Linked DNA regions of Coturnix japonica. The protein of the gene in region 1 interacts with the protein of each later gene in a biochemical or structural test. Links are inferred from orthologs where the notes say so. Each region holds a gene or a part of one and is shown on either strand. Other genes may lie near its edges. The genes, in order: STXBP5 and STX1A.

What was found.
Region 2: the proteins of STXBP5 (region 1) and STX1A form a complex in vitro, tested with the Homo sapiens proteins (2 studies listed by BioGRID). The link is inferred for Coturnix japonica from reciprocal best matches to the Homo sapiens genes STXBP5 and STX1A.

The regions. Positions count from the first base shown.
Region 1 is NC_029518.1:42,453,730-42,465,643, reverse strand, and holds part of STXBP5 (syntaxin-binding protein 5), read right to left. Parts: intron 9,295-11,914; coding exon 9,244-9,294; intron 4,505-9,243; coding exon 4,265-4,504; intron 2,945-4,264; coding exon 2,575-2,944; intron 760-2,574; coding exon 594-759; intron 1-593. UniProt on the Homo sapiens protein: Plays a regulatory role in calcium-dependent exocytosis and neurotransmitter release. Inhibits membrane fusion between transport vesicles and the plasma membrane.
Region 2 is NC_029534.1:102,009-114,022, forward strand, and holds the start of STX1A (syntaxin-1A), read right to left. Parts: upstream 7,393-12,014; 5' UTR 7,295-7,392; coding exon 7,265-7,294; intron 1-7,264. Other genes in the region: MKS1 (Meckel syndrome type 1 protein), read right to left, coding at 11,275-11,378, 11,834-11,931, 12,014-12,014. UniProt on the Homo sapiens protein: Plays an essential role in hormone and neurotransmitter calcium-dependent exocytosis and endocytosis.

The DNA.
Region 1 (11,914 bases):
ACATTTGCAAGCTTATAGCTCAGGAATATTTGCAAAGAAATGTGATCGAGCAAAGCTGTATTTTCACCTCAAATTGGGCAGCACTCTTGATCTTGTTCAGTTGAAACTGCATCTACAAATAGTAATATGCACAGGTAGCATCAAAGCAGAGCTGGCAGACTAATTCTGTTATATCCACCTTCTATACAACTTGCAGGCCGAAGCAGTGTTGAGAATCTGTTCAAATTGTTAGTATCCTGGCAACTTAATAGCTTCCTTGTATCTTAGTAATCCCAAATTATGTCCGTATACACCTCCAACAAAATTATTTGAACAAGATTTCTATTAACTGTGCATATTAAACAAAGATACATACAGACTAAAAAGGAAACTAAGTAAGACACATTCCAAATACAAGAGGATGGATAACAGTACAATGTAAGAGTGGGGGAAATGATTCACTCTGATTAAGACTTGGCAGTGAGCAAAATCAAACCATAAAAGCTGAAGCACTTAGTTTATGGCAAATATAATAATAAGCACTGTAAACTTAAAACTGAACTACTTGGACAACAGCTACGCTTGAAGACAGCAGATTTGGTTTTATTCATTACCTGAAGATTTTCACATGTTTCTTGACTGTAGGTGAGCCTCTGTATTTCAGTTGGTGAGACAAGATAGAGGGCTTGTCCATTATTGGTGAAGCAGAACGTTCTGGCTATTCGCATATTAGTGAGTGGCAGGTAATACACATCCAACAGTGGCCTTAAGCTTGGCAAACTTAAGAATTAAAAAAAAAAAAAAAGAAATGTAACAGGATGTTGCATTATTTTTCTCTTCATGGTCATACAAGTACTGTATAAAGAGGGCATCATTTAATACAACTAGGAAATCTGCAAACATAAATATGCAGTACTTAAAGGAAGAACCTCAAAAGAGAAACTCAGACATCTGTATCACAAATGCATTTCAAAGCATTATTTAAATGATACTCTGAGTACATAAATCTCAGGCACACTTAAAGCATTATTCAGTAATTACTAATGAAATTCTTTAATAAATATCTACTTTTTTCCCCCTTCATATACAGTTGCCTCTTCTCTCAGGTGACAAGTTTCTTCTTGACTAAAACTGAAACCCAAGAGTTGTCCTCAGGAACCCAGGGAAATATGCAAAGACAGCGCTTCCAAAGGAACAGAAAATTCAGTAAACTCAAACAGCATTCTTGTGAAGTTATGCCTGCCCTTTTTCATCTGACTGTATAAATAGAAAATGTATAAATATACGGTTTCTTTAAATAAAATGAAATCAGCTTAAAGCATTGTTTTGCTTACCTTGTTTGTTCTGTTTTCTGCATACATTACTGAAGTACTTAGTGCATTAAGCTACTGAAGAACAGATGCTACACATTCATTCTGTAATAACGCTCAAGCTGCCAAACATTTCTCTCCCTCAAAGAAATACTAAACGCAACTAAGAAGTGACTGAATGCCTTATGTCTTGATAAACAGAACCTTAAATGAACCCATACCTCAAAAATACTCCCTAGGAAATTTTTGTAAAAATAGAATTTACACACTAGCTGCAAATTTATCATCAATATATTAAGCAGCTTCTGCTGCTAAGATTCTTATTTCAAAAGACTAAAAAAGCAATAAAGGGGAATACTGAAACTGAAACTAATGATACAGAAAAAAATACCATACAAGCTAAACTAAGTTTCTTGTCTTCTGCTCTACTTCATAGTGATATTGAAATTTCTAAATGTTAGGCTGGCATTTTACAGACTGGGTGTTGTCCGATAGCAGGAGATTCACAAAGAAAAGGAAGAAGAATAGATAACATGACTTTAGTGGCAAGCTCTATGGGTAAGAAATAAAAAGCATAAAAAGCAACATTCTTCTGTAAGCACGCTACCAGTGATGACACATTTGCCCAGCATAAATCTAAAATAGGAATATTCCTAGGATTAAACTATGAAGAGTGAACTGCTTTGCCACAGGTCCCTCCCCCCACACCCTCCATCACTACTCAGAATGAAAAGAGCATTTGTAAACCCTTAAGAAGAAGGACAGGTAAAAATTAAATAAATGACACAAGTACCCTCAAAATTACTTCTTCACACATTTATACATTTATGGATTTTTTAATACTAGAATTGCTATAAATTAATCTCACTTTCGAGACATGAGCAAGCTACAGAACAAAACAGAAAGCTCAAGACATGACTGAGAAGCAGACAGGACTGCAGTAGCTGCACAAAAATATGCAGAGCTGTGGTCAGCTAAAGGTCTGATTCAGGACAGGTTTTTCCAACAAGGAGTAAATTCCTTGTTGAGACAATTTTCAACAGTTATATCATGTTTGGAATTATTTGTTGAATTATAGTAATGACTTAAAATGATAAACTTGTTCACGTGCTAAGGGCAAAATTAATAGGAATATGTAATCAAAATATTCAGCTGCAGATGCTAGAAGTTTATCAACACTGAACTGGATGCCCGTTTTATTCGTATTCTTCTGGAAAGAAATTCATCTAGCAGGAGACTCATATCATATATATATTCATATACATTACTATCTATTAGGTCTTACCTAAAAGCCATAATATGTCCATTGGCACAGAAACATGCAAGGCAAATACTGTTACTCAATGATACTATATCTCCACGAAGAACAAAAGAAGTCTCTGTTATGTTATGCTTATAAATACAGTTTTGGGATGGCAGTGAGATAACTTTTGCTTGCTTTTCAGAACATATCACTGCATATTGGTTTTCACTGATTTCCTGAGAGGATGAGGGGGACACTGAGACTGGTCGTCTCTTTTTCGATTTATCTTTTTCATCTTTATCTTCAGGAACATTATGTTCTCTCCAGGGTTCATGAGCAGGTGGGACTAAAGATCCAGTAGTATCCAGAAAAGCCATTCTCAAGATTGCCCCTTTTAGCCTCAGGATGGTTCCTAGGAAATATAAATTGAGAACATTTCTAAAACAGTCCTAAATTGTCATTCAAACTAAAAAAAAATACTCCCTTAACAAGCTAGAAGAATGAAAACTAAACTAGAGCTTAGGGTTATCTCTACCAAAATAGACTTAAAATCTCTGGACTTGAAGCATGTACAAGTGCATGTACATTCAGTAAATTATTAAAACAGTTTTCAAAGTTTAAATACATACATGCATACACTCCATTAACACCAACATAAATGTATACATTTATTAGGAGAACCAAGCCAGAATGCATATTTATATTGAATTCCAGTGTCAAGCACAATTCATTTTATTATCTCGAGGAGCGCACTGTGCACTCAGTATCTACCATAAATGCAATTAACAAGAATTTTTCCTTCAAAATGGGTTCAGAAACTGGCAACTTGTTTTCTTTTTCTTTTTTCCTATAGTTAACATTTGAATCCACTTCTCTCTAGCATAAAGCAAAAATGTTTTCCTTCTCAACTGCTTGTGTTTAATTGTAGGCTGATATATTTCTTTTTTCACTCATTTAGTCACACACAAGTAGTAACAGAAAAATTTATTAAATGCATAATAAATAATACGTATTGCAGCAGATCTGATGATTCAACACACTGTCCAGTCTGTTGCCTTGCCTTCAACATAAAACATTACCAAATCTGAATACTGTTAATGCAAACATGGTCTAGTGACCATATTGTTCACACCGTTTCTTCAAACAGGAGTGCAATTTTTCTGTAAAGCAGACCCATCATGCTCTGTAATGAAACTGTGGTAGTAAGAAAGGCAAAACTATTCCTAACAGTGTATTATTCAGTTTTTATTTTTGTTAAGGTATCACTGAAAAAAAAGAGTAATATATAATTATAACAAAATCAGTTGCTGTGTACCAGCAAAACAAAACAAGGTATTTCAGTAATTCAAAGGAACATTTCATCACTAATATTTGAAGTATTAAAATATATAGCTCTTATTTTTTCCACTATTCACTAAAATCTTATGTTGCAATTAGAAAATACTTAAAATGCACATCTCCATTGATCAATAATAGTCATCGGCTACACAAAAGCTAGAAGGTCTGCTTTTGTCAGCATATATAGTTCTATATTTTTATACTTTATGAGATCATATTATCAACTTGGCAACTTTAAAATTCTGGTTATAAAGCAAGCAACCTAGATTGTTAAACCTATTAGCCAGTACATACTAATTTCCAATTAATCCATAATTGAGAACAAGTTTATTAAAAAAAGCATGAATAACAACAATACTTGGCATTCTTGAGTGCCCATCTGCTTTGTACTCACCACTAGGAGAAACAATTACTGGCTGAAGAAGTCTTTGCTCTCCTCCTGGGGGTAGGTTCAGTACAATGACAAGCACTGTACCCAGGGTGGTACCGACCCACAGGCACGGAGAAGGTGATGTATCAGCTTTTCTTGTGAAAGTCTCACAGAAATGAAGAGCTGAAATTGCCTCACGTGACTCTTTGTCAATGCTAGTTACACTAGAACTCCTGGATCGACTGAAAGAGTTGTCTTTAACATCTGAAAATAAATCAGTATTAATTAGAAGAACTAAATATAGGAATTAAGAAAATTAAGATTTTATTTTGGTTTTGTTGTTTAGCATAGAATACATATATTATGTATCAGTCTATTGATTTTTATAACTATTTTATTTTCCCTTAATGATAGCTCCTTCTAATTCAGTTTCCACTATTTTATCCTGAACAAGGCATCCCAGATTTGCAGAGATAGCAATCAGGTTATTTCATGAATGACTTATCATAGAATGGACTATAGAAGGGACCTTAAAGATCACCTAGTTCCAACCCTCTGATGTAGGCAGGGCTGCCACCAACTAGTTCAGGATGCCCAGGGCCCCATCCAACTTGGCCTTGAATGCCTCCAGGGATGGGGCATCCACATTGTGGGCAATCTGTTCCAGTGCCTCACCACCCTCATGGTGAAGTTTCTAATAGCTAATCTAAATCTACCCTTTATTTATTTATTTATTTAAATATAGTTTAAACTCTCATCCTTTGTCCTGTCACTACATTCCCTAGAAAAGTACATGACATTTCTTATCTCAAGATAGAAGGAGCAGTTATCAATCATTAAGAGTTCTTAGAAAAACTCAAACAAGTGAATTACATACCTGTCTGTAATTTCCTAATTGACCAAGTTAAAAACCACTGGCTTCCACAAAGCATGATTTAATGATTTAATGAAGATATAACTACATTAAGACCTACAAAACATCCAGACAGACTGACAGTCTGTAATGATTCAGTATTGTCCCACTTCAGGAAACTGCCCAGAGGAGGTCTTGGGTTATTAACATACACCTGAATTTTCAATCAGAGAAACACTCAAGGCCACCAAACACAATTGGAACTGTCATGCAAAGCTGAAGATTTCTGTTTTGAATATAGTACAAGGTGGCACCAAAACTTTTCAGGATGTCTTATTCTTTGCTTAGCAAATAAGTTTCTCTTAACAGAGTGAATTCATATACTAACAAAAATCATCGAATTAGAAATCACGCTGCTCTATTATAGACATGTGCTGTGTGCACACGTGGCAATGCTTAATATATCAGCACGTCTGAAGCTATCTGTGCACTCTCCAATTAATGCTTGACTTTCTCAATGCATAATTCCAAAATTTTAGCACAATGCAATCCTTATCAGCACAAGTCTGATGCATATCACATAATGACTTCCTAAAACTAAGTTACTGTTTTGGATCTTTGGTTGGAGAATGGAGGCAAGCGACATTTCATAAGCAGGACTAATAAAGAACAACACTAAACTACATACCTAAAGTATCAAAATAGTAATTTCATTGAATGATTGCAGAAATTTCTACAAGAAATATCTAACTTACATTTGAAAAAGCATAGAACTTGATTTCAACTGACTGAATACAGACATCTAAACAAAAAACAGTGAATATCTCAGGAGAGACCCATCTTACTCCAACAGTGACAGAAAAACTCTTGTCCTGCTTACTTTTACATAGTTCAAATATAAAATACCAAGCATTAAGAAGGTCAACACTCAGATACTGATGCAAAGTTTACATATTTAAAACCAATGTCCAGAAAAAGAAGTCAAATCAAGTTAGAAATGGTGAAAAAGATAATTTGTGTTTTATAATTTTTCTGATGACCACAGCCTCTTAAGATGCTTCTTTAAGGTTTTATTTTTTTTAATTTTTTTTATTTTTAAACTTTAACAGATTAGTCACTCTGAATACACTAAACATCAGAATTTTGCTTACATTAAAATACACATTTTGAAAAGATTAAAAAAGCTTAGGTGGTCTCCAAATTAAGGTAAAAAACAAAAGCTGGAACATATTGATACATTCAGAATCAGAAATGCAACTCAACTGTAAACTTTTTGTGTAAAGAAAAGCTAACCCAAATCCTAGCAGCTTACTAGAACTTCAGGGTACCTGTGGTTTCTCTAATTCTATTCCTTTGACTTAAGATCTGGGAACACACTTTCTGTATGCCTTATTTCAGGTAAGATCCTTCCCCCTTTCCCAAGAAAAATACAATTAATGCAACAGGCATAACTTGCACATTTCTTCAGTTACAGCTGCTTTAACATCTGAAAAGTATGCATACAAATTCCAGGTGTATTGAAAAAAAACAACAACAAAAACGAACTGGCCAGACAATACAGGCATTGTGGAGAGTGAACAACCGATTCACAGAAGATAACGGAGTAAAAGGTTTGACTGCTTTAATGTGTATTTATTTACCCTGAGGTCACGGAAGGATCTATGGTTTGTTAATGGAATATTTTCAAATGAAGAGGAAGGAACAATGGTGCAATGGCTCACTACACACCACTTCATCAGAAGGAAGGAAAGATGAGGATCTTCTGAGCAAATAAACCAAAGGATAGGATTTAGTGGTAATGACAGTAACCAGCTGGGTTACAGCAGTGAAAAGGAGTGGTATAATGCAGACTGGAGTATGATGAAGACAACTTCTATTTTAAAAATTGGAGCATAAATGCAGAAGCACGTTTTGTTTTAGCCACGTAGGGAGGTAAGGAGTAGTTTAAAGATCTAGACAGAAAAGTGATTTCAAAGAAAGCACTCATGAAGGAGTGAAAGTGGTCAAGGTTCAAGAAGTCATGTAAAGAAACGAGAGAAAATGATGAAGATATTAAACTTGGGAGAAAGGCATTTCAGCTGTTTCCTTGAGCCAGTAGATATGGTCACATAATTAACCAAAAAGCAAAAGATATAATCAAGTTGAGAGTTACTGAAGAACACTATTGAAAAGTTATTCCACTAGGAGAAAAAAATACCGAATAAAATCAGACTATCATCATCTCAGGTTGTTATTTACAGACTTAAAGACTAGAAAATAAAACTTTTACAAGAACAAAAAGTGTTACTTAAGTGTATATAGCCACACGTGGGTATAGTCAAGCAAAAACAGTCAAATATCATTACAGTTAGATGTTAAAAGATACTTTATAAATACTCAATAAGTGAGTTGATCAAATAAAGGTTCCATTATATTATTAGAAAAAATCAGCAACAATCACACATAAAACACTGAATTCTATTTCTAGTCACTTACATTTACTGAAGAATTTCAAATAAAAACAAACAAACAAAAAAATAGCATTCAATAACATTTTTGTGCAAACATATCCCAGTTTGCAAAGTCTGACAAAATTAAACTGAAATCATCCCTAACCTGTCAGTGATGGGAGTGAGGAAGAACAGACACTGAAAAGACAAATAGAATTTCTGTGCTCATTGGTGTCAACAAAGCCATGGTTAAATCCTTCTAGATCCAGGCACAAGAGTTTCAGAAAGATGAAAAAAATTATATTGTCCAGAAGAATTATCAGAAGACTAGATTTAGTCAAGGTAAATTGGCAAAGGAGAGGGAGCTTAATTTCATAAAAACAAATAAATAAACAAACAAAAAAAAGCAACAAAACCAAGCACTTCAAACCTAACTGCAAAAATGAAGATTAGTGATATGATAGTAGGTAGCTTTCAGCATCTACAAAGATGTCTACCAAACAAATGGAGTAACAGTTATCTGTGTTCCTCGTGGAAAGGACAAGAAAAAAATCTGAATTAGTATGGGAATAAGGGAGACAGTCTGACTAACAGAAAATTTATTTAACTGGATATAAACCATAAACTTCATCTGGTATTTTTTTAGGAACTTATTTATTGGAGACCCATGAATCAATGAGAGGTTAAACTGTCAGACACTTGGATCTTTGCCACAGCAGTGGATTAAATGATCTCTGAGGGTTCCTTACAGCTTCACATTTCTATGAGTGGAGCAAGCTGTAACGTAAATCATGGTGGTCCAAATCTGAAGTTTCAGGATATTCCAATATCATCAACTGTTCTCTTGCTGATAGTGGTAATTTTCAAATGCATGTTTCTGCACCTACCAGTTTGAACCTGATCTGTATTCTACAGGGGCTGTGGAAAGGATTCTGCTGCAGAAGCAGCAGGAGGGAGATGTGAGAGGCAAAATGAAGCTTTCCTACTCAGGCTGCATCTACTGCTGCGGGTCTACAGCTGTCCCTGATCATCTCCAGAGAAAAAAGCTGAGGAGCTGCATCTGATCTACAAGCTGGCAGTCAACTTTTGATGACAAAGTAATAAAAATGTCTATTTGTTTGTATGTTTTAGTTATGCAATATCACGACCTTTAGCAATACAAGCTTCATAAATGAAATGCTTACTATGTAAAAAGAGTAATTAAAAAAAAAAAAAGAAATTCTCAGACTGGTCATCCATCCAGCAAACAGTTGTACACCATTTTCATTGATAGAAATGATCTTAATGCCATTAACACTTGTAAAAACATGTCCAACCTTTTAATGGACCTCAGTATATCCTCATTCCTAAATACTGTATAGTTTCAATTTGAAAAGTATTGGACGGCTTCAAATTGGCAAGCAATTTTCCTTACAATAAATTACCTGCTTATTCACACTTTTTCTATCACAGCACTACCATAAGAGTGACAGATGCCTAATAAAAAAAATCACCAAAACGCGCTAAGCCACATACAAGATTTGCAGGCTTACCTTACAATGACAGCAATGATGCTTTGTGCCAGGGAACCCCCCAAATGAGTGGAATTAAAATTTAAGTTCTACAGTTCAAATAAAGCAACCCAGTCACGACATTTTACATGCTCAAGGATTCTTACTTAAATGTATTCACATTCTGTAAAACAATTTCAGTAAATATAAAATACAACTCTGTAAACTTACCTAAATCAGGCTTTAACTCAGTTGGCAAACTTAGCTTCCTGGACATCTTTGCTGAAAAGTGAAGTATAGCCTTTTTTTAAAAAGAATAAACACAATTCTGCTGGCCTTCATTTGCCTCTTCCCAATTATTTAATGTATCATTGTTTATAACGTTAACTGCAGTACTTAACCGGATTTCTGCTAAAGCAGAACCTCACTTTCACAAGTGAGGCATGCAAAGTAGAACATGGAAACTACTGTAATCCCCAAATATAGCATTTTATTACTTTTGCCAAACTTCATTTCCCCTTAGGCATCTGAAATAACTTGATATATTGGATAAATTTTGCTTTGGCTCAAACTCAAGATTTATCTCTTCAGGTAAAAGGAGATAATGCAGCTCCTACAAGAATGTGCGCCGAAACTTTCATCAAGTTCACATCCCATCCACACTTCTGCCCTACTTCTTGATCAAACCTGAGATACTTAAAATGGAGAAAATAATACATTTTAATTACTCTAACATGTACACGTGTAAAATAAGCTAGTAATCTGAGATGCAATCTGCAATCTTAGAAGAACGAAGAAGTTATGAAGAATTTTAAAATGAGTGGCATGCAAACTCCTGTCACACTCAAAAAGAGCCACGTTCTGACAATACTGTGTGGAGATAAAGCATGTATCCAACATGCTGCTAAAACAGAGTCACTAGCAATCTTAATGCCATACGCCCCCCTTTCATCTTTACACCAATAACTACTGGAGAATGGAAAAAAATGATGTAGTCCAACAATAGAACTTGAATTTATTTCTTAGCCACATGCCTGAATTTTGATTCATTGTTTAGTTCTTCACTATCTTATAAGGGAAACACTTTTCTACCTAAAACAGATGTTGAGGATAGTCTCAGTTTAAGGAGTACCTTGTAATGTTTATCAGTCATAAGGCAGGATTGAATCTTTTTGCTCCTCTCATTTAAAAGTGGAATTCACTCATTCTATCTACCTGTTTAAACAAAAATAATTGTTTTCCACAAATTCCAAAAAGGAGTGTATGTTTCGAAGTTATTTCCACTCCATCATTAATGAAAGTATTTCACTGTATCATCAACTGTGCTCATCAATACTGCAAAGTCTAGTTAACTGAATAGTTGAACAGTTTTATTCCTGTCATATGTAATAAAAATTTGAGAGTAAGTCTCCAGAAATAACCTTCTCATTTCCTTCATGTGTCACTGTTACAAAGCACATCCTGGTCAAATTAAATTGAACTCAGACCACAGCGCTAGGCACATCAACATATTCTATCTAATGCAGTCAGAAACTGAAAAGAGCACTGCAGCTACATACATACTTCCTACCCTTATCCTTGCATTGGCTGCTGCCCAGCTTAATGATGAGCCCAAAACTTATCTTAATGAAGTTTCTGACAAGGATTGTTCTCAACAAGATTAAGTTCTGCTTCAGATCAGTGCTCAGCTGTGCATACAGAAAACTGTGGTACAATGCAGCAATAACGACAAGGAATCTTTCTTCCTGCTGTCAGCTATAACTTGCATCAGCTTGAAGAAAGATCAAGAAACCTCATCTGGAATCGTGAATTACAAGATGAGTGTTCCTCATCTTATGTCTTGTTTTGGACAAGTAAATTATAAAAGGCTGAGATACATAACAAAAGCTTAAGCACGCACACAAATTGAGCTACTTTTGTGCTCTTTGTTTTTGTTTTTTTTCCCCATGTGTGAATATAAGCAACCATTTAATCAGTTTGAAGACAACAGTGGTTGCTTCTGGCTTCTCAAATTCAATGATTTTAACAACTTGGGGGGGGGGCGTTGGCAAAAAATAAGCTACTTAGGCAAAAGGTAACATGGAATACAGGCTGGTAGCATTGTATTCCAAGACTCAGTCCTCACTTTTAGCATTCTACTCATTAGTGAAAAGCCAGCTACATGAACTAGGTTGAGGAGATAAAATAAATCTGCCCTTCAAATTTTTTTTTAGCAAGCACTAAAAAATGCTTTTTTTGCATTTTTTATATTTATGCTAATAGAACAAGAAAATAAATGAGTTTTTAAAAGATCATCACGGCTAGAAATTGTGAATATGTTATGCAGAGAAGTTACATTTAAAAACTCGTTAAAAACCTCAATTATTCAAACGTAAATATTACTACTTAAACCAGACCCTATTTAAATAGCAGTACTGCCATCTTGTGTTTAGACAGAAAAGTGCCTCAAAAAGCAATAAGAAAATACAAGTATTTCACCAGCTAAATCATTTTTTAACTAGCATTACTTGGTGTAACAAGTACCTTGAATGCATATATGTCTTACAGTTCACAAGTTTCAGAAAATTCAGTTTTTCCATGCCACAGATGGAAAAACAATATTGCCAGACATCACAGACATCATCTACATGAATGATACTTTTCAGGTGATGGAAAAAAAAACCAAAAACAACAGGATTGAGATCTACAGAGAACATTCTTAACATTGGTTGTTTCATTCCAGTTGTACAACAGGGCAGTGGTGATGGTGGCTGCTCCTGCTGGGTGCAACTGACTTCAAGCAGTAGATGTAACGCCACAGTTAAATACCTCGGCAGTGACAGTGATTGCTGCCCCATTTACAGCCACGGTTGCCTTTCTGCAACCAGGGCAAGACAAGGAGATGGACTAAGGAATCATTTTG
Region 2 (12,014 bases), on another chromosome or scaffold:
CGGGATGGGGAGGATCTAACAGTGACGACTGTCTTTGTTCATCTAATCATCTATTGCCACACTCTTTTCAGTCTGCCACCCTGCTCACTGCCCTGCGGTCCATTCACACATGCACAAACTTGGCCAGTACAGACAGGGGGAACTACAGGATTCCTCACCCTGAAATATGCCAGGTGACAGCCTGGCTTTTTTTTCCTCCTAAAACTGTCTTTTCCACCTATGATGGCTGAGTTAGGTGGAGCCCTCTAGAGCAGATCCCAGCTTTCTATTCTAGCCACTGCTCACAGCACCATCTGCTTTGGTAGCCATGAAAGCCATATCTAAAGATATCCGAGAGCTACTACGACATGACAGTCTGCCCCCAACAGGTACAAAGAGCAGCACTGCTGCCCAGACCCAGACCCCCATGTGCGAGTTCCCCATGGGGCCACACGGCAAACCCCAGGGATGATGGAGAAGGCTCCAGCAGCCAGCCTGGCAGTGCAGCACAGGAGAAGTTACAGCATCATCTCCCAGAGCCAGCAAAATGCTCTGGGATCCACGTTTGCATTTTGCTTTACACGTGACCACAAATCCCACTTCATTTGTGCTGTGCTTCATTTTCAGCATCAACCGTCTGCCACTAATTAAGACAGACGCGCTGCAGCACCGCCGGGGGAACCCCGCACCCAGCAGCAGCCACCTCGTGCCCCCCAGAGCTGCACCGAGCAGGGACATTTTGTCAGGAGATCTGCAGCTGAGCACAAGCAACGAGCACCTCTTCTGACTTCTTGTGCTGCTGTGACTCTGAACAGCACCAGAGGTCCTGATGTCCCCCAATACTCCCCTCCCTCACCCCCTCCTACAACGTGCTGTTATTTAGGGCAGGCACTGAGAACGGTGCTGCCCTGCTGTGTGTGGGGAGAGCAGCACAGGAGCCCGGCTGGGAAGAGGAAATTACATGGATGGAGCCTGATGGTGGGGAGGGCACGTGTCACTCCCACGAAGTCACTGCGGGCTGCATGAGGGCACCATCTGTCCCAGCCACGTCACTGGAAGCACCCTCTGTGCTGCGCCACGTCCAGCACGCAGCGCCCAGCTGACTGCCCAGCCCCAGGGACAGGAAGGAGCAGCAGCAGCCCCTGGGTACCTGCGAGGCTCAGGAGGGCTCTGCAAGGACAGAGCTGTCCCCAGGTGAGCAGAGCACTCCTCAGCTCCCAGCGATCTGCAGCAGCACAGCTTGGAGCACAGGTCACACCTCGCCCTGTCTCACTCCCGCAGCACCGCACTGCAGGCACTGTCACCCCAGGGCTGAAGCAGCTTCCCTTACACTGCTGCCAAAACAGACACAAATCTGAGCAAACTGCCCCACGGAAACCTAAGCATCGTCCCGAGGGGCAGCATGTGGATTCCTCACCAAGAGCTGCGGCAAAAGATTTCCCAGTGTGGCCACCCCATGTTCCCAAAGCGGTTGTCAGACACGTGCAAAGCTCTGGTCTAGGTCCAAGCGGGGTCAGCTCGTCAACACAATAGCCCCAGTGACATGCAGGGAGCAGCTGGCGCAGGAGGCAGAGCTGCACCACAAGGCTCAGCAGGGCTGGGGAGGGCGCCCAGCACCCCACGCTTCCCAGCGTTTGGTAATGGGGACGCTGCTAATACATTCATAGTGAGCAGGTTACATCCCTCTGCTTCCAACAAGCTTCATTTCTGAAAGATGGCTGAGAAGGACAAACCCACTGAACAAGCTGGAAGCCTGCTGCTCCACACGGAAAACCAAGAGGCAGCAGGCAGGGAGAGCTGTGACATGACGGTAACAAGGTCTCTATTATCTCTGCAGCAGTCACACGCAAACTCATCCCCTGCTCTGTGCCGTGAGCGCTGCAGATCGATTTCACCGCATCCGGATGCATTTGAGGAGCCAGCAGCAGAACCTCACAAGGCCATGGTGGGCTCAGTGGCCCAGGGGGTGGCACAAACCCACCGGCTGCCCCAGCCATGGAAGACAACCTCCTCCTAGGCAAGGCCACAGTGAGCAACACGCAGCCGGAGTCGACAGCCACCCTGTGCCAGCACAGCTGCAGGGCCAGCACCACGTGCCACCCCGTGTCACCGCAGGAGGTAATGCAAGCTTTATGGAAGCACAGAAGGTCAGAAAACGGCCACAGCAGCACCTACCCCCTTAAGAAGGCCATTACACTGGCTTTTCCCTTGGAAATGCAGGCTGCTGCTCTCCCGTTCTCACTGAACGGACACCTCTGCAGCACAGTCTGCTGAGCTGCACACACATGTCCAAAAACCATTTGGCTCTTCCTGCCTCTGAGCCCAGGAGCCCCCAGAATCCCCTTCAGCTGCCAGAGAGCTCCTGCCACCCTCCGCTGGCTATGCAGCTCCAGCTCCTGGCCATGCACGTCGCTGTGAAGATGGATGAGGTCAGAATAATTCAGTGATGAGCCGCAAGAAAAATCTACTCTCAGCCATCTTAAAAGCCTACCAGCACCACCGCACACAAACAGCAGGCTGCATCCCAGCCCGGCTGCACACACAGCTCTGCCGTGCTCAGGAGCACATGGGCAGGTCACTGAAGCTCTGCTCCATACAAACATGGTTCCAAGAAGCGCTGTATATATATATATATATATATATATATATATATATATACAGTACAGCTAGAGAGCATAATAAATGGAGTATTTCACAGCCCTGGATATCTTATAGCATGTAGGCCATTATTTAGTTATCACAGAAAGGCCCAGGTTGGAGTGAACTGTAAAGACCATCCAGCACCATCCCTGCATGGGCTGAGTGTCCCCCAGCTGAGGCTGCCCACAGCCCTTCTGTGGCCTGGGGCACCTCCAGGGATGGGACACCCACAGCTCTGGGCAGTGTCCACCAACGCCATCACTCCATCACTGAAGGCCGCCAGGTGGGTCAGCCATGCTCTGCCCCTGCTGCAGCTGTGCCAGCTGCCCGACGTCACCTCCTCATCTCCCCTGTGCCCCACGTCTCCTCCGTGGTGCTCCCAGGCACAGAGCTGGGGCTCACGAGGTCGCAGTTCCCCAGACATCCCTTTCCGGAATACGGCAACAATGTTTCCCTTCTTCCAGTCCCCGGAGCCTTCAGCTGACAGCCACAACATTTCAGATGTGATGGAGAGCAGCTCAGCACCCACACCAGGCAGCTCCCAAAGGACCCTTCTGTTACATCCAATTCCAGCATTACTGAAACCAGCCCGTATTTTGGACCAGCAACTTTTGATGAATAAATGTTGAAGGCAAAACTGACTACTGCTCACCAGCATCCGCGTGAGTCATCACGTGTTTCCAGTTTCCAACACCAGCAGCACAGCAGAGCACAAGATTTCCAGGAGTTTTGTCCTTTAGGTGTTCATTTTCATCATTGCAGAATTACATTACCAACCTTTGGCTGGAAGCCCGACGGCTCTGTCGGAGCTCTGGCCAACTCCTCCGGAGTCTTTCTGGAAGGAGCAATGCTCCATCCCACCCAGCAGCTAAAGGCAGCCAGGTGCATTCATGATGCCACAAAGCCTTCCAGGATACCCCAGTGCTATGATGAGTACCAACAGCTCAGAGCACGGGCTCAGCGTGGCAAGAAGGTGCTCTCCATCCCCCAGCACAGATAAGGCTGAGGTAGGGCTGCAGCTCAGAGCAGCTCTGCCCCACAGACCTCCACCAAGGGACTGTCCCTGCTCATCCTCCCTCAAACACATCCCTGGAAGCATTCAAGGCCAGGCTGGTCTGGTGGTTGGTGACCCTGCACATAGCAAGGAGGTTGAAACTCCTTGACCGTGATCGTTGTGGTCATTTTCAACCCAGGCCATTCCATGACTCTATGAACACAGATTTACTCTGAAACACTGGAGAAATGGAAATGTTCCCCTTCTGCTTTCTCCCACTGCTCACTTCTCTGGGAAAGACATGAAAGCCAGCGCAGCCTACAACACCCACATCCCTCCCATCAGACATTGCCGCCTATAAACACAGTGATGAAATTTCTTGGGTGCTCTCATCTAGATTGTAAAGGAAACAGCACCATCCATGAAAGACATCAGCCCTCCCAGAAGGCAGAGCTGAAATGTCTCCTGGCAAAATGAACATTTGTTTTGTGCATTGCATGCTGCACGTCTGACAGGTCCCACTGGAAGATCTGAAAGCAACAGAAGACAAAAGGAAGGCTTAATGCTAAAGAATTTGTAACAGACATCGCAGCAGAAGCACTGTAGGAAGGGAAACTGCCAGTGCCAGGATGGGAGCAAATTGCAGCACAGGAGGTTCCCCACACCGTCAGGGAGCATTGCTGTGCAGACAGAGGGACCTGAGAGCTTTGGACTTTCCTCTGTTGAGATGGTAAGAAGCTGCCTGGACATGTACATGGGCACCCAATGTGGGTGCCCCTGCATGGACCACATGGATCCAATATTGAGAAGTGGGACCACATGAACCATCTGAGGTTTAACAAGGCCAAGTGCTTGGTGCTGCTCCTGGGTAGGGGCAATGCCAGGTATGTGTTCAGAATGGGGGAAGAACTCCTTGAGAGCAGCCCTGCAGAGAAGGAATTGGGGTTCTGGGAAGGGAGAGCTGACCAGAGCCAGCAGCGTGCAGCCCAGAGAGCTGCCAGCAGCCCGGGCTGCATCAGCAGAGGGGTGGCAGCAGGCAGGGAGGGGACTGTCCCCCTCTGCTCTGCCCTTGTGAGGCTCCATCTGGAGTATTGTGTCCAAGCCTGGGGCTCCCAGCACAAGAAAGACGTGGGGCTGATGGAGCAGGTTCAGAGAAGGGCAAGAGGGTGCTGAGAGGGCTGGAGCACCTCTGCTGTGCTGACAGGATGAGGGAGCTGGGGATGTTCTGCCTGGAGAAGAGAGGAGACCTTGTGCAGCCTCCCAGCCCCTAACAGGGTCTACAGAAATGCTGTGTAAGGACTCTTTATCAAGGAACACAGTTAGATGACAAGAAGTTCTATACTAAAAGAGAGGAGATTTAGGTTAGATGTGAGGAAGAAATTCTTCACCTAGAGAGGTGCTGCGCCGCTACCCTGAGCTGTGGGTGCCCCATCCCTGGAGGTGCCCCAGGCCACGATGGACCCTGGGCAGCCGCAGCTGGGGGGCACCCAGCCCATGGCAGAAGGGGGCGGGGGGAGCGTTGAGGGGTTGTGAGGTCCCTTCCGACCCAACCACGCTGTAACTCCATGACGCAGAGATCCTCGCCTGCCTCAGCCGCTCTGCCCCACCTCGAGCAGCTGCTGAAGACAGCAGTCCTGCCTGCAGCGGCTCTGCAGCCCTTCCATCCCTCCTGCTTCAGAAACGGCTCTCGCCATGTTTCTGTACCAATGCTCTCCTTCCTGGCCCAATGCCTGGGCTGGTATTTACAGCACACGCTTGTTTCTGTTTCCTGCGCCGCACCGCTCCATTTGCTGTCCGCTCTCCATGGCTTTGCTCTGAGGGTGACCCCACGGCCGCTGCTCAGAGGACGCTGCCTGCACCCACTGCAGCTGCTGGGGCTGGCGCTGGGGCTTCCCTCCTCCTTTTTGTTAGCACACATAATTTTCTGGAAGTAGCAATTTATCACAGTACTTAGCTTAATGAGCCTTACTGTACGTATTCTGCCCGTAGTGATCATTTTGCATATTTCCTGAGCAATCTTGTTAGCAGGGAGATACATGGCAAAACAAACATTTGTACAGCTTCCGAGCAGCTCGCACAAAGGCAAAGACACTCACAGTTAAAGCAAGGGCTGGGCTGAGCCTCCATGGCACACGGTGTGTCGCAGCCCTCCAGCACAGCAGCTCAGAGGGGACGTGGTGGGGCGAAGCAGTGACACCCTGCGCAGTGTGCTGCCTGGTGCTGCCTGCAGAGCACAGCTGCTCCCCCAGTGCTCCCCCATCATCTTGCTCCCATACAACACTCCCAGTGCCCAGGCAGGCAGTAGAAGGAGCAGGGCTGAACAACTAACACCACCCTTCAGGTTGGAGAGCGTGAAAGAACTGCACACCACCAAGAGGGTTAAAAAACAAAAGGAATACAGCACTGATATAAGTACATAGATCCATTCCCGGGGTTAACGGCGCCTTCTGCGTACCAAGAGCCGGCACTGTGGGCCACAAGGATGCTCACATGGAGAACAGGGGCACAGGGCTCTGCTACAAAAAGCAACTTTGGTCAACTCTGCTGTAAGCGCGGACCTGAGAGGCATCTCTGCAGCGTTCCCCGCAGCACAGCCCAGCACAGCAGGGACAGACACTGAGCCCACCCAGCACTGCCTGCCCCGAGCACCGCACCACGCAGCTCCTCGTGGGGGGCACAGTTATGGCCCGTCGGGGTGGGCTTTATCCAGCCCCATTGGAAGCCAACAACCAGCAGTCACCGAGGAGCTACAGACACGAACCGCGTTTCCGACTGCACGCAGCCCAGTCAAAGGGGCTCCTCCAGCACTCCCCACCTCACCTCATTCAGGCTCCCCCATCTGACCCCATTCCCTCTCTGTGACCAGCGCTACGCAGGGACAGTTGAGGCGCTGCCCCCAAACGGCGCCGTGGGGCGCTCAGCAGCGGCCCCGCACCACCCGCCGTACCCCGCCCCGCACCGCCCCTGCGGGCACGCGGTGCTGCCACGGAGCGGGGATCTCCCGCAGGAGAGAGGCGAAATCGCGCCCTGATGAAGCTCTTATTTATTTATTTATTTTGTTGGTTTTTTTTCGTCTTCCTCCATCTCACGTCCAACACGCAGCGGAACACGGAGATGCTCCGGCGCTCCACGCACCGTCAGCGCCGCTCCGGGCGGACATGGGCGCGGGCCCCGCAGGGAGGACAGAGGCACGAGTCGGTCCGCTGTCACCGAACAGACATTTCCCAGCACGGACCAGAGCCGCGAAGGGACAGAGACAGAGACAGAGACAGAGACAGGGACAGAGACAGAGACAGAGACAGAGACAGAGACAGGGACAGAGACAGAGACAGGCGCAGGGACAGCTCCGCGCTGCGGGGCCGCAGCGTGACATCAGCGGAGCGATGAGAACCGAAGCGCAAAATGGGCGCAGGGGCCGCGGAGAGACACGACCCGACCCGGCCCCGCAACGCCCCGCACCGCAACGCCGCTGTGACCGCGAGGAGCGGCGCCGACCGCGGGGGGAGCGCGACGCAGAGCAGCCCCCATCCCATCCATCCATCCCATCCCATCCCATCCCATCCCATCCCATCCCATCCCATCCCATCCCATCCCCTTCCCATCCCATCCCCTTCCCTCCCTGTCTGGGAGCGCCCCGCATCCCGCACTCACGGCGCGCAGTTCCCCGGTGCGGTCCTTCATCGTTCCCCGCTCCGAACGGCCACGCGGGGGGGCGGGCGGGCGCGGCACATGCGCGCAGAGCGGCGGAGCGGCGCGGAACGGCCCCGCGGCCGGCTGGGAGCGGCGGGGGAGTCACGTGGTGGGGGCGGCACCGGGGGAGGGGGCGGCACGCGGGGGGTGCGGGGCGGTGCGGGGGGAGAAGCCGCCCCCGGTGCCGCCGCCCCCGCGGCGCTGCCGGTTACGTGACGTGGCTGCGGAGTCGCCGCCGTCCCGCCCCCCCCCTCCCCCGCGATGGGCTTTTGTCCTCCGCCGGACGCGGCCCCGCTCGGGGCGTCCCGGCCCCGGGGGCGTTTCTGAGCGCCCCGATTTACGCCGCGTCTGTCTGCGCTGAGCGCAACCCGGGCGCGGCGCTGCGGACGAGGGGCGCATCCCTGCCCGCACTGCTGGGCTGTGTGCGGGGCTGTGTGTGTGCGGGGCTGTGTGTGTGCAGGGCTGTGTGTGTGCACGGCTGTGTGTGTGCGGGGCTGTGTGTGTGCGGGGCTGTGTGTGTGCGGGGCTGTGTGCGGGGCTGTGTGCAGGGCTGTCTGTCTACAGAGCTACCAGGACGTGCTGCCGGCTCGTGCCGCTCCATCCTTCCAGCCCCCATGTCCCCACGTCAGCACCTCCCCCATCTCGGCTCCGCGGCCTCAGCCCCCCCCATGGTCGCGCAGCGCTGTCCCCCCACCCTCCCCAGACCGGTACTGCCGCCCCCCGAGGCGCAGCGGCGGATCCCGCAGCCGGGCGCAGCCGCACGTCGAATAACGGAGCGCCCGGGGAGGGCCGCGCCCGGCACCCGCTGTGCCGAGGGACGCGCGGTGCGATGCCGTCCTCTGCCCGGGGCACCGCGGGGCGGCCGGGCGCCGTGAGCGACGTGCGGGACAGTGTGCGGGGGGAAAACGCGACGCCGAGAGCTGCGGGCGGTGAGGGAAGGATCCCGTGAGTCCAGAAGGGCGTCCGTGCGGTGCGAGCAAAAGGGAAGAGCTGCGCCCCGTGCCTACAAAACATCTGGGAGGGACGATCTGTGGTCTCCATCTGTCTCCATCTTCGTTTCAAGATCAGTTGAACAAACATCTCTCGGGGCGATTTGGGGTGATCTGAACTGAGCCGACACACGGATCCATCTGGATCCCCCCAGGGGTGAGGACACACCGCGGGAAACGCACCTTCCCACTGTCCTCATTCCCACAGCTCTGCGAAGCACAAACCCACCCGGACACCCGAGCAGGAATCCCTCCCACTGCAGAAATCCTCACAACCATTTGGAGAGTCAGATTTTATTTTTTTCCGGCATTTAAGACGCTGTGAATTAATCACAGTCCGTCACCGCGTCAGCCCCATCTGATTTCCTGCGCTGCCCGAGCACGAGGCCGCGCCAGGTGGGAGGATTCAAAGACCTGCGTAAGGAGCCTCGCCCGAACCAAAGCGGTTCCGAGGCCGAAGGAGCCGTTTCTCTTCTGACCGGTCCGACGCACTGTGCCACCTCTCCGCGCAGCTCCGCTCTGACGCACGCTGAAATGTCGGGTTTGGCTTCAGAGAACGCAGGCGGCGTCTCGAAGAGACAACGAGCATCACGGGCGGCGGGCAGAGCCGGCGCTGCTCACTCACCTCGGCGCCACGAGCGGCCACGAGCGGCCACGAGCGGCCTCTCCCTCCCCACGCACCGCAGTGACCCATCTCGGCCCGCCCCATCCCGCCCGGAGCCGCAGCACCGCCGAGCCCGCAGAGCCGGCCCGCAATGCCGCCCTCAATGCCTCCCGCAGGACCTCCCGCAATGCCGCCCTCAGTGCCGCCCGCAGCACACTCGCGGGGCCGGGATGGGCCGGAGGGACGCGGCAGCCCCGCTGGCACATCGCGCTTTGAGGTTCTCGCACCCCTCGTCTTCCTCCGTTGAGTAAAATCTATTGCCGGGATCTGGCGGCGCTGCAAAGCCGCCCCCCCCCGCCGCGCAAATGACTCATTTCCAGTTTGTTCCGTTCTGTTCACGCCGGGATCTCCGAGGGCTCCGCTCTTCATCCTACGAGCCCAGCCAACTGCCCGCAGCCTTTTCGTCCACCCCGCCAACCTCTCCGCCCTCGCCCTTTGTGCGTGACGTCTATTTAAGGAGCAGCCCGCGGGGCCCCGGGCGCCTTCAGCCCCGCACAGACCGCAGCCATCAGCGGGAGCGCGGCTGAACGCAGCCTCCGGCAGCGCCCCGCGGGGCAGCGCCGCAGCAGCTCCGCCAACGCCGCGGTCCCGGCGGCAGCAGCCGGTGATGCTCGGGAAGCAGCTCCGTGCTGCAGCCGTGGCACTACCGGGGGCTGCTCCCCTGCCCCGCCGCCGCCCCCCCAGCCGCTCCCAGGGCGCCCCCAATAACGGCTGCCGTCCCTCCCCCCCGACCCCCAAAGCTCCCGGCCCCTCCTGTTGACTTTCAAATCCACCGAGGCGCCGTTTTGAGTTTTGCTCTCACGTTTCTGTGAAATTGAGGCCTTAACTTCTAAACTTGTATTATTGTGTACACTTCACTGCAGCTGCACAGCCTCACTGCTCAGCCCACCAGCAACACGCACAGGCTGAGGGGGCCCATCACAGGGGTCTGTCCTGTGCCACCCCAACAAAATGGACATTCTCAGACCTGCGAACTCAGACCAAATTTGGTGCCTCAGTCTTATCTGCCACATCACATCAACCAGCATGACTGGAGAGCTGACTCATCCACCCAGTGCTTGGCCAAGGACACTGCTGCACTAACAGGCCATGCTACCTCATCTCGGCTGGCGGCTCTTCTGCCAAAAAGGAGGGGTAGCAGGTGAGGTTGGCAAGCAAAAGTCCTCTTTGTAAGAGCGACAGCAGCCACAGTAAAGTTCACCCCTCGATCCCGAGCCCATCTATGTACTGCATCTCCTCAACAGCCACCCCCTGCTAGGGGCAAACATGGGGAGCAAGAGGAGGAAACCAGTTCCTATTGTGTCCTGCCTGCGAATTCTGGCTTTTCAGATGCACTCAGCCCTGTGTGATATTTTTCTTCCTATCACTGTGGGTCTGCAGGTAGCCCCAGTCCTGTGAACGTGAGACAGGAACAAAAATAGGGGAATAAAAAAGGCTGAGAAAAGAAGAAGAAAGTGAGTAAAAACTGTGTAAACATATGCTTCCCCAGGAAGCAATGCAGTGTATTGCTGAGCTCAAGCAATGAGTTGCAGCTCAGATGAAGAGCTTAACAGTTCAAAGTTCAGCTGCTGTGCAAATGTCACAATCTGTTCTCATCTGCAACATCCAGCCCAGCTCTTCTATGAACTAAAGAGAAGATGTATTTTCAGTTGTATTCCCAAAGTCCTTCTGCTCATCCTTGCAGTCAGAAGAGCCAGAAATTCCACAGATAAAAAGAAATACAGAACAGAACCCTCTTCTCCAGTCTGGCCTCTGTCACACATAATTTCCTTGCTTTGGTTTCCATGCGATGAAGACCCCTCCCTTTCTCTAGGAATGAATCAGTTTTAAATCTCAGGTGGTCAGATTCATTTTACTGAAAACTGACCTAAAGCTTCAAATGCTGATGGTAACTATCAGTAAGTTCACTACTCAGTTAATTAAATCTCAAACAACATTCATGCCCTGACCTTCAACATAACCCTCTTCTTTAAGAAGAAAAGTAAATCTATCAAGTCAAGTAGACTTGAAAATTTTCTCATTGCCTACAATTCAATATTCAAAAAGCTCACGTGTCTCATGTCAGTATTTTAGTCAGCTCAGCAGAAACATGAACAACTGGCTCTAACATCAAGGCCTGGTAACAAAATGCCTTCAAACAGCGCACCTGTGGAAACGATTCTCAGTATGGATGTGCTATAGAGAGACATAGGGCAGCATCTCTGCCCCTGTCTGCAAAGGAAGGGCCTCAAAGAGCTTCAGGGCACTGGGAGCTTCTGTCAGAGAGATGTGGGCTGCCCCCAGGCCAGAGGCAGTGAGGCTGTCGGTCTGTCAGTCTGTCAGTCAGGGTTCTTCCACACACTGGAGGCAGAAGTGCTGATGAGGTCCTGGGGAAGGCTCTCACGGGCCTCCTGCATCCGCCGCCGAGCCCGATGGAAAGCCTCTGCAACACAGCAGGTGACAGCAAGTCAGAACACATCAGACAGCCGCAGGGAACGGGAAGGACAAGTCTGTCCAGTGCACATCACCTCTCAGAACAGGGGTCTCACTAAGTACCACCTGACTGCTGCTGCTCTTTGCTCTGCGCATAATGGATCAGAGACTGACTCTGCACACCGCAGCCACAAGTTATGTTCAGTGCAAGACTGGGCAGCCCAGCCCAGGCTTTGCCCTCATGGACCGAGTATCCCTTCTGACTGCTCAGGGCTGATGCCTCCTCAAATTTCCAGCAATGTCAGGTCAGAACATTTAACTTCTGTTTTAACTCAGAGAGAGCTCACAGTGGGGGATAATTCCACTTCAAGCAATGGATTCTCCTGAAATACCCTGACCAACCTGTAAACAGGAGGTAAAAGTGAGACAAAGGTCCTCCTCGAAGAAGGAGACTGAAGGTCCTACCCAGAACATTGTAGACAGAGCTCTGCTGGCTGAGGCCTCCAAGCCGGTCCAGAACGCTCTGCATGCGATGCCTCAGGGCATTAGTTTCCAGAAAGGCTCTGCACAGAAGTACAGCTCGAGGTCAGGGCTGGAAGAACACAGCACACAACACAGAGCTTGTGCTCACTTTGCTGCACTCACT